Arabidopsis thaliana: one gene and its partners. The protein of the gene in region 3 interacts with the protein of the main gene of each other region in a pairwise test. Each region holds a gene or a part of one and is shown on either strand. Other genes may lie near its edges. The genes, in order: WRKY43, BBX31 and MNP.

What was found.
Region 1: the proteins of MNP (region 3) and WRKY43 interact in a two-hybrid assay, tested with the Arabidopsis thaliana proteins (one large-scale study listed by BioGRID).
Region 2: the proteins of MNP (region 3) and BBX31 interact in a two-hybrid assay, tested with the Arabidopsis thaliana proteins (one large-scale study listed by BioGRID).

The regions. Positions count from the first base shown.
Region 1 is NC_003071.7:18,955,412-18,958,577, forward strand, and holds WRKY43 (WRKY DNA-binding protein 43), read left to right. Parts: upstream 1-1,800; 5' UTR 1,801-1,842; coding exon 1,843-1,991; intron 1,992-2,077; coding exon 2,078-2,258; 3' UTR 2,259-2,514; downstream 2,515-3,166. Other genes in the region: KPHMT1 (ketopantoate hydroxymethyltransferase 1), read right to left, coding at 1-231, 599-1,000. UniProt on the Arabidopsis thaliana protein: Transcription factor. Interacts specifically with the W box (5'-(T)TGAC[CT]-3'), a frequently occurring elicitor-responsive cis-acting element.
Region 2 is NC_003074.8:7,708,254-7,711,943, reverse strand, and holds BBX31 (B-box type zinc finger family protein), read left to right. Parts: upstream 1-2,010; 5' UTR 2,011-2,280; coding exon 2,281-2,646; 3' UTR 2,647-3,111; downstream 3,112-3,690. UniProt on the Arabidopsis thaliana protein: Developmental regulator acting by forming heterodimeric complexes, that sequester CO and CO-like (COL) proteins into non-functional complexes. Involved in the CO-mediated long-day flowering-promotion pathway.
Region 3 is NC_003074.8:18,908,894-18,913,168, reverse strand, and holds MNP (GATA type zinc finger transcription factor family protein), read right to left. Parts: upstream 2,223-4,275; 5' UTR 2,058-2,222; coding exon 1,539-2,057; intron 1,169-1,538; coding exon 800-1,168; 3' UTR 561-799; downstream 1-560. UniProt on the Arabidopsis thaliana protein: Transcriptional factor that specifically binds 5'-GATA-3' or 5'-GAT-3' motifs within gene promoters (including its own promoter and GATA21 promoter), thus regulating the expression of genes mostly involved in hormone responses and floral organ specification (including genes regulating hormones responses).

The DNA of each region.
Region 1 (3,166 bases), on a different chromosome or scaffold from region 3:
TAAAGCCATTGCAGTCTCAACAACTTTAACAGCACTAGCTATGTTTCTGCCTTGGGGTCTGAAACCACCAAGAACGCTAATCGCCTGAGGGGTTAGACCCACATGACCAATAACCGCAATTCCTGCTTCAACTATAGCTTTTGCAGCAGTGATCCTAGAAGCTGATCCTCCTTCGAGCTTAATCGCATCCATTCCTCCTTCCTTCAAAACCCTAACCGCAGTATCAACCGCCTGAAGCCAACATTTAAACCCAAAATCAGGTCCCTAATTTGTTTCATTGACACAAAATCTTGTAAAGAATCTACTTTGCATAAGCAAGTACTAAAGCTAAATCTGTGATTACACAGGCAATGACACATTGACACATAATGTATCATTTAAGACTTTTTTTATCAAGAATCCAATCACCTAAACATTTGATCAGGAAATGAATTGAACATTGTAAGTCCCACTGAGTGTTGTGATTAATTCAGGTATTGAAATTGCAATCAAGAATCTAATTACCTACACAAAAATTAAGCAGAAGAACATGCCTTATCAACAAATATGTTTAATTTAGGTATCTAGAAGAAAAAAAGATTCAATTTTATAACATTACCTGACTAGAGCTTGACTCGTAGGTACCAAATGGCAAGTCACCAACTAGGAGAGGTCGTTTAGCGCCTCGAGCAACGGCACGACAATGAACAAGCATCTCGTCTAAGGAGATAGGAAGTGTTGTGTCGTGACCATGAACAACCATGGAAGCTGAGTCACCGACAAGACAAACATCGATACCAGCTGTGTCTAAATGAACGGCGGATGGGTAATCGTAGGCAGTTACGACGGTGATCGGTTCTCCTCTCCGGTGTTTTTGTCTGAGATGCGTTAGCGTCACTCTTTGGTTTGGGTTTTGTGGCTTTGGTCCTCCGTAGACGGTGTTTTCCGGTAGGTTACTCATGAAACGGACAGAGATGGCTTTTGAGAAGCGAGAGCAATTCCTAGTGAGTGAGGACGCCATTGTTGTGAAGATGAAGAAACCCTCTTATCTGTGACTGTGTCTGTGTTTACAAGAACAAGGAATTTTACTTTTAAGAAGATTCAATTCCTAGTGAGTGAGGACGCTGTTTAGATTCTGGCAAGTGGCGATTCAGTTCTGGGTTTCACACACAAATCAAGCATAGCAATGACACTGTTAGGAATTGTGATAGCTTAACTATAAATTCAATATTTTAACGAAATCAACAAGATCCGTTGTAGTCTAGCTGGTCAGGATACTCGGCTCTCACCCGAGAGACCCGGGTTCGAGTCCCGGCAACGGAGATAGTTTTAAAATATCTTTACTATATTAAACCGGATTTTGGTTCAGTCTGGTTATGTTAACCCAGTCTCTGTTTCTCTCTAGGCTCTAGCCTAACCCAGTCTCTGTTTCGATCTTATTGAACTTCTGTTCCAAAGGCGATTCCTTTTTTATTTTTCCGTTTCTGGGTTTAGATAGAGAAATGTAGAGATTGAGATCGCGGTTACTAGTTGGAACTCTCTTGGAGTTGGAGAGCATCCGAGGGTTCTGCACGAGCTCCTTTAAGATCGTAGCTTCGGTTCTTTTTTATGAGATTGCGCATTGTGATACCAAAACCGGATTCTACTGTTTACAGTTTCCAGGAGTTCAAGTAAAGACCAAACCATGTCTCTGTTTTTTAAGTCACACACGTGTGAGATGACGTGAAGGAATTTTTTGTTGTTGTTGGTCTGAAGTAGTTGAATGTAGTTGGCTTCTAAACCTTTTTATATATCTCTTCAATATAAATCACACGAAGAATTCTAACACACAATTCGTTGATTCATCATATCTCCTCTTCATTAATGAATGGCCTCGTCGACTCTTCTCGAGATAAGAAGATGAAAAATCCGCGATTTTCGTTTCGCACAAAGAGTGATGCAGATATTCTCGATGATGGTTATCGATGGAGAAAGTACGGTCAGAAATCCGTCAAGAACAGCTTGTATCCCAGGTAAACTTTTTAACATAAATAATCTGAAATTGTTTTTAAAAAGATTGTTTTTTTGTGTGTTTCTTCTCACTTATGATCATCAAAAGGAGCTATTATAGATGCACACAACACATGTGTAACGTGAAGAAGCAAGTTCAGAGGCTGTCGAAGGAGACGAGCATTGTGGAGACAACTTATGAAGGAATCCATAACCATCCTTGTGAGGAGCTCATGCAAACCCTAACTCCTCTTCTTCATCAATTGCAGTTCCTCTCTAAGTTCACCTAATTATGTTTGTATATATATTAACGTTCTAAGAGCATCTCCAATGGAAGTATCTCAATGAGATACCTAACAAAAGAAAAAAAATTAAAAAAAAAATATGAGAGAAGGGAGAAAAAGTAGGAGAGAAGGAGAGTTAAATTTCTCGGATGATTGGACAGGTGTAATCACACTATTAGTTCAACTATTAAATAATAATTAATGTATCTGTTTTGATTAAAATATTAATTAATATGTTTTTGAGAAACTTTCTTTATTTTTACTGGTGGAGATGGTCTAATGTTCCATGGTTCATATAACGGAGCAAATTAAAGCATTGTAATCATATATGTTTGCATGTTCATAGTTGCAATCTCGTTTTGATTATAAATCAGTTTTAAGCATATAACCAAAATAAAAAAACAAATCAATTGTAATATTCCGGTAAAACGATTACCACGTGATGATTATAGAGAGGCATAGAGCAATATCGTCTGGTAAACTGAATAAAACCGGATTTGGTTTCCATAGATTTTTCTCAAGCCAAATCAGTTTCCTTTCGTTTGAATAAACCTATTGGCTTATCGTGAGTGATTATTGTTTTGTTTATTTACACGATGAACAATGTCAATGAGACATGTCACATGTACGAAGTCAGTTCCGATATATTACATGAATTGCTTTCAAGTTTTGATCAGCATCCTTAAATAGTCACCGAAAATAAGAAGCGAACAAGTCTTGGCGAAGTTGAAGCCACAAAGTGTACTAATAAATATGGATTGCCGAATTAAAAGAAGAAACAAAAAAACTACATTTTCATATTTTTTTTCTTCTTCCATATATAAATCCACTTTTCAACTTAAGCAAATGCAATCAATGGGAAGGTAAGTATGTATACCTCTAAATCTCAAATAATCTTTAAAATTATAAAATAT
Region 2 (3,690 bases), about 11 Mb from region 3:
GCTTTTGGATTTTTGAACCAATATGATCCACACAAGTGGACTTATGCATCAACACTGAATCAACTTGTGGACAACAACAACATCACTTTTTTTTTCCATAACGTATCAAACATACAAATATAATAATATTTTCGTCTCATTATTATTTCAGTCCGTCTAATAAGTGTGCGTATTTTTGATCAGTCAATAATCCATACGACCCACTACTTTATCTTAAATTTTGTAGAGAAATGTCGTGGGTTTTTTTTTTGTTATATATATACTTTGTGTATGTAAAAAGTTAGATATATAGTCTTCATAAAATGGTATAAGACAATATGTGTATTTTCTATTCTGAGTAGAGTCCGCCAATACCCGATCTTACTTGTATTAGAGACAGAGTGTTACAGGTTGTGGTTTAACAGAAACCAGTTGGTTATGTACCGATTATATAATGAGATGTACATATATACTCTAGTCTTTCTATTTCTCAAGCTTTTATATTTCTTTCAAAAACTGAAATTTTTTTCTTCACATAAACATATTTGTAACCTACCTTTGATTCAGTATAACTTTCTGCATTATATCCGAATCGAAGCAAGATTGGAGGCATAAAGAACAACAACTCTAGTTGAACGTCCAAAATGGAAAATACCTACTCAAATTATATATTACATAATGTCAAGGTTTTAATTTGGTCTAATTAATCTTCAATATTAAACATATATATGCAGTTAAAAAATCTAATAACATCATTGAAGATATTTTTGATCATTTAATGCTTTATAATTATCTCTATCTTCACGTAAATTTTGTACTATTAGTAGAATTTAAGTTAACGAAATGTATGACTCCGATCATTACATGTCTAAACGATGGCGATAGATATGATGTGCTGCTATGTTTTAACCGATACGATATATTTTAGCAACAACGAATAACTATATTATAATTTTGGTTAAAGAGATTCAATAACATATTTTGCTAATTACTTTATTTTATTTCGTCCGAACTGTAGTATGTAATTAATCTTATTAGGTTGCTTTAACAATAGATTAAGACACTTACTAAATGAATTCACTATTTTACAAACACTGTTTACGAATAATGTGATGCTAACTACAAAATCGAATATTGTGACATTAAAATGCTTTTCGATTACTTATATACGTACTACTAAGCAATCACACGCAATGTATAGCAATTCAAAATAATCAAACCTTTTTAATTAACTGATATTATTCGTAATTCGTGGGGTAGCTTTCACTAATATTAAACAAATAAATGACTAATAAATCAACCCAAAAAAAAATCTTTAAATGTGAACCATACAAGTGAAGTCCTCTTTGCTTGTTCTGATAGTAAGCTTATATAATTAATTAAGAGTTGACTGACTAACAACCACACAATGTCCCAAAGACAACCAATAACAACGATACTTGATATCACCCTAAATTCTAGCCGTTTCTTATGCGTACCCCCTATCCTCCACTAATCACTTGTAGTATCTTTAATTTTTTTCTCTAAACAATCCCTTAATTATTTTAGAAAATTCTGTCACAAATTTCAATAGGAAAATGAAGGTGTGCTAAGAAACGAATGATAATATATGCCGGTTTTTTTTATCCAACTAGTTCTAGAACCTTAAATATCATGTAAATGTCTCAAAATTTATACCTTGGAAAAAAAGAGATAAACTACACGACTATATATGTTTTCGCTTTGGACAAGGAAACTCCATCGTAATTAACTAAATTCGCAATCATTCATATTTGTTTATAGAATCGATTGTTTGTTAACCTTTCGGTGCATCTATTAAAATTTTAAATTCTCAATAGTTTGGTTTATCGTACACCGTAATCACATTACAATAAGATACATATAACATCATATCGTACAAAAAACAAAAAAAACAATGATTCACATTGAAGTGGTGGGTGATATAAACCAAAAGAAGTCGTACTAGAGGTTTGTTTCGATTTGCAAAAAAAAAAAAACGGAGTTTGTTTCGAAAATTTTAAAGTTGTGCGTCCAATATGAGGTCGAGAGATCGCTTGGAGGAGAAGCGTTTTTAATTTTGAAATTAACGATTTTGCCCTCATAAGGGCATTTACGTCAAAATAACAGGGCAAGATTCATCCACGTGTCCAACAACAACACAACACAAACACATCATTAGTTTTAAAGAAATAAGATTCCTATATAAATGTATAAACGTTTCTCCTATTCCCAAATCTTCTTTCCTCAATATCACCCAGAAGAAAGAGAAAGTGAAACAGATCAAGAAAGAGATTGAGAAAAATGTGTAGAGGCTTGAATAATGAAGAGAGCAGAAGAAGTGACGGAGGAGGTTGCCGGAGTCTCTGCACGAGACCGAGTGTTCCGGTAAGGTGTGAGCTTTGCGACGGAGACGCCTCCGTGTTCTGTGAAGCGGACTCGGCGTTCCTCTGTAGAAAATGTGACCGGTGGGTTCATGGAGCGAATTTTCTAGCTTGGAGACACGTAAGGCGCGTGCTATGCACTTCTTGTCAGAAACTCACGCGCCGGTGCCTCGTCGGAGATCATGACTTCCACGTTGTTTTACCGTCGGTGACGACGGTCGGAGAAACCACCGTGGAGAATAGAAGTGAACAAGATAATCATGAGGTTCCGTTTGTTTTTCTCTGATTATTAGATTTTTTTGGTGTAAGCTATAAATATTCTAGGGTTTTTATGCAATTTTCTTTTAAGAAAAATCTGAAAATTTTAATTTTATGAAGCTTAGAATTTTAAGAAATGTGTAATGAAAAAAAAAAAAGAATTTTAAGAAATGGGTAGTGACTAAAAATAGCAAAAAATATCTGCAATAGAAAGGGAAGAAACAAGGATCGTTTGTTGTTATTGAGTTATTCTTCGAATCTTTTGCTTTTTTCTACTAAGCAATGTTTGTAACCAACAAACAAAAAGTTCCATAAAACTGCTGTAAAAAAAAATTAACTCACCAAACTCTCTGTTTGGTATTTTGTTAGATATTTATTTTAGTGTAGTAAATCTTTCTCACTACTTCTTTGGACTTGTCATTTTCCTTAATTTAAAGGTACATAAAAGCAACTCCAGCCTTGTATTCTTAGCAATAAAAGTGATTAAATTTAATGAAACAACAAACCTTAGCTAAGATAAACATCTTAATTAAGATGTTTTCTTAAAACTAAGAAGAGTATATGTGTTGTATTTTGAGTGGATAGACATTTTTGAATTGTTGTTTTTTAAGAATCCAATAGTTCTTAACCATTGAAATAGAAATTAGTTAAACTTCCTCCTAACTTTTCTTAACTTAGTAAAAACAACATTTTAATTTAAAATAAGGTTAAGATTCAAAACTAAGAACCAATTGGTTCTAAACCAGTGGGGTAATAACTAAACTTTTTGCAAGTGAAACATCTTCATAATGCAATGCTTAATAAGTAGAGAATTGTTCTCTTGAAACACGTTAAACGCGAGCTCTGTAATGGAGCAGATTGTAATCACTGCTACTTTATTATTAATAAAAAAAAAAACAGCTAGGAAATTTATTTATAAAGAGATAAATTAGGATTTGTCCTATAAAAGGAAAAACCCAACTTAAAAATAATCAAAAACAAAAGAGATTCTGTAAATAAAAGAAGTTACTAAATAATTTTCACCATTTTGGCTTTCCACCAACTTTATTTAGTTCTCCAACGTTCCCATGCC
Region 3 (4,275 bases):
AGCACATATTGACACGAACAAAAGGTCAAGAAGAGAGGAGTGAGTAAAGGACAAAACGACGGTCAAAATATAAAGGAGGAAGAAGCAGAGCATAATACGACAAATATATGTTCATTAAATCACTACAATGCTCTCTGATCCAAAACTGAAAACACAACAGTACCAAAACCCACATTGGTACGATCAGAATCTAATCTCTCCCCAATTCGACGATCAGATTTCAATCTTCACTACCAAACACCCTAATTTTTATTTTATTTTCTCTATTTTTTATTAACCAATAGTAAGAATATTATTATTATTAAAGTCTCAGTTGTGAAATTCAGGGACTCAGGTGGAACTGAAACTTCTCCGTTCAACTCTAAACTATATACATTAAAAGAGTTATATCCTATGTCTATATTTTTGGTCTGTGTGTTTTCTCTTATGCACATCTTTCATTTTTTGTTTTTCTTTCTAATGTTTTGATTACATCTGTAATGTTTTATGACGATCACTGTGTAATCAATAGAAGAATCTAACTATAGTGTTTATTTTATAGACTAGAGAAGAGAAGATTTCCATAAAAAGAAGGTTATATTTTTAAAATAAATATTAGAAAATGATTTTAAAAATTGACCAGAACGGTACTTTATAGATAAACCATAAGTTAGACCGTCACTATCAATAAACATCAACATCGTCTCTCGATATACACTTCTATTTTTTTCAGAAATATTTTCTTGGTTTTTTTTTAATTAGACATAATTAAACCACATGGAAATTTTAAGAGAATCTAACGTCGTTTTCTATTCTCCTTTCATCTGGTAAAGTCATGGACAAGACTTGCCCTATCCGCTACATTAAGCCTCCAAGAAAGGAACGGAACACCGCCGTGAGCACCGTCGGATTCAACGTTGTTTGCTACTCCACTGCCGTAATCATCCATGAACCTGATCTCATTTGCCGGATAATTACACGGAACCCTCTGCGTCGAGTGGTGATGAGCCCACGGAGTACCATTATTATTGTTGTTATTAGTGGCAGCATGGTAATTATTGTAGCCAGAGTTGTGATGCCCGTACTGGTCGGTTTGAACCGGTGCAGCTCCGACGACGGTGTTTCCTGTAGCCGCAGTAGTTCTTCTCTCTTCCTTCTTGAAACGAATGCCGCATGCGTTGCATAGGGACTGCAAATTCCAAAACCATCCATATCATCATTAGCCATCAATATATCTTATATTTAATGTTCGTTCAATACATAAATCTCTATATAGTGATGAAAATATTCGAAAAGAAAATAAATTAATGTCTTTTATTGAAATATCTGTTTTAAAACTTATATTCAAGTAAATTTACTGAACCATCAAAATCATTATTTAATGTTTCTTTCAATAAATTAAACTATAGAGAAAGGGATTTATTGGTTTTAGTGAAAAAACAGATAGGCAAATATTCAAAACAAAGGGATGAACTGTCTTTTTGGTTATTGTAAATCTTCATTTCATGTGTTGATTAAAAGAAGTTGCATTTTAATAAAAATTAAAATAAATAAGTCACCTTAGGGCCTCTAGGACCATTCCTCCATAGTGGAGTAGAAGTAGTGTCACAGTTGGCACAGCGTCTAGCGAGAAGAGAGTCACCTCCGCCACCGCCTCCTCCGCCACCACCACCACCGGAACAACCGCGACTTGGCTTGTTAGCGGAGAAAGAAGGAACGTTATTGTACGGTGCCGTTTTGGAGTTGTTGTTTTTGGTGTGAATCAAGTCCCAAAAGTTGGAGATGCAAGAAGAAGCACCAGATGAAGTAGAGCGTCTACGTTTCTCATCTTCCTCACAAAGCCTCGTAGAAGGAGTTCCAAGAGAGAGAGTGCAGTCAACGAGGGAGGAAGAGTGATGATAGTCCTCACCGTTCTGCTCGAAAACGCCACCGTTTTGCATGGAGAAGACCATCGAGTAAGAACCGGCGTTGGAGTTGTTGTTGTTGTTGTAGCAGCAGCTTTGGCTATGGTGGTGGAACATTCCACAAGAATGACAATATTGCCCCTGCGTTGAAGTAGTGTACGGAGTCTGCATCATCGCTCTTACACACTTCTCTCTCTCTCTACTGGTTTGAAAACCCTAAGTGTAAAATTAAGAGAAGCTAAAGAAAATATGAAGAGATAAGTTCAGTTTGCAGGTTTCACGTTGGAGTGAAGTGTAGAATGGAGAAGAAGGTCTCACACCTATATATAGAATCAGAAATGTATATGTACGCTTATATGCAGGTTTATATTAATACGAATAGTATTTAAAATCAATAGAATATGTGGGGACGCAGCTTTTTACGAAGTAATATTAATATATCATTTACTCAAATGGGTTTTCCTTGCTTTTTTATGTTTTATTAATTACAAAATACGATGAACGATGATACAGTATCAAGTTTCTTTAGGCAGCCAAGTTAACAAGTTAAAAGATATTTTAATCACAGTTTATTTTTTCTAATTACATAACACATGCTTGGTCTACATAGAGTCTGTGTCACTGTGTGATTGTTTTGAATAATTCAACTAAAATATCCCTATTTCAAGTACGTTATGGAGTTGATTAGCTTTTAGATAAGGATGCTAATATATGAAAATGTACCGTACATTATGAAAATGTCAGTAGTAAATAAAACAAAATATGATGGGAAGTAAAATAACAAAAAGTCGAAACTATGTAGAAAAACTGATCTTGGTTTAAAAAGCGAAGGGTTTGCTAGTTGTTGGACACAAAACTTTCAATCTAAAGATGAATAGGCTCGGTAACATATGCTAAAACAAAATCATTCATTGCTAGCTTCCAAATATCATAGATTGAAGTTTGGTTTAAGTAGATATGGTAAATCTTATTGTGATGGTGAAAAACATACGACTTTTGGACCATCAAGCACACAACTCTTATTAATTCGTTATTTCTTTTTGAAGCAATTATTATGTCACTCACACACGAATGTTTACTTTACTAGAACTATGATATTGTATGAAAAAATTGAAATTATCGATTTTGTGGAGGAAATTTAACAGAAAATAAAAAACGTAGAAGAAGAAGAAGGAGAGAGTGTGATGCGATGTTGATGGTCATTGAAGAAGGGTGGTCAAAATTTAGCCCACGTGACAAGGGGGAGAGAAGAGGAAGAAGAGTACAGTCATCACTGCAAAAATCTCCGATCACGAGGCTCATATTTTTATTTTTATTTGTTCTCTTTCAATATAATGCTATAAAACCTCTGTCTCTTTCCGTATCTCTGCCCTAAAACCCTGAATCTCACGCGCTCCTGCTCAGTTGCGCGTGGCCTCGTCCTTTACTTCTCCACATCGCAATCACACGTTCGATATCTGCTCAGCCTCATGTGGTTAATGATGATCCATGATGATGTAAGTAAAATGACTTAGATTTGGTTATTAGATTTCTTCAAAACTTGCAGCTAGCTAGAGTCTACTCTACTCTTGTCGTCAACGAATACTAGTCTTCGTCCCTATACAGAATTATTTTATTTTTTTGGGATTACGTATGTTAAATGCTTTAACTACTGTTACTAATAAAACCCTATTTTTATTGAAAACATGGACTCTCGATTGGTTGAAAAAGAGCTTACGCTAGGGGATATAATGCATTGGCCGATCTAATTTTTTTTTTTGCCGAACACTATTTTTTGAAAATTTTGTAATCAAACAAATAAAAGAAAGAAAGTGTATATTCAAAAAAAAAAAAAATTAAAAGAAAACTGTTGAAATAGTATATGTTTGTACGTTATAAAAACCGATCAAGAAAAAGATGACGGTTGTCCAAAAAAAAAAGGACCAAGATGCTGAAATCACAATTCATGTACTGATAACTAACACTTCACAGGGACGCGGTTAACCGAGTGCTTTGATATCTTGTAGTTGTAGATAATGTCTTGTTTTTCTATATCATTCTCTCCAATTTACTTAAATGCATATTGGGCATGTGATCAAGATGATTAGTTGCTCTTTTGTTTTCTTCTGTATAGGTCTCGTTCCAATTTCATCGGATGTTCCGATGGAACGATTAATTACTCTTCTATTGATGTTTATATCGGCTATTTGGACTAACAACCTATTTTATGGCAAATTTAAAAACATAAGAGAGTTGCTATATCAACACTAACCTTAGTTGACTCACATATCTTTTTCTAGTTCGCATTATTAGTCTCCCTACATAACCAACAATCTACAATGAGAATATCAACGCGATATTGATGTGTCAACCTTATATTTCATTAACACACAAAAAGCATTTTCTTGATTGC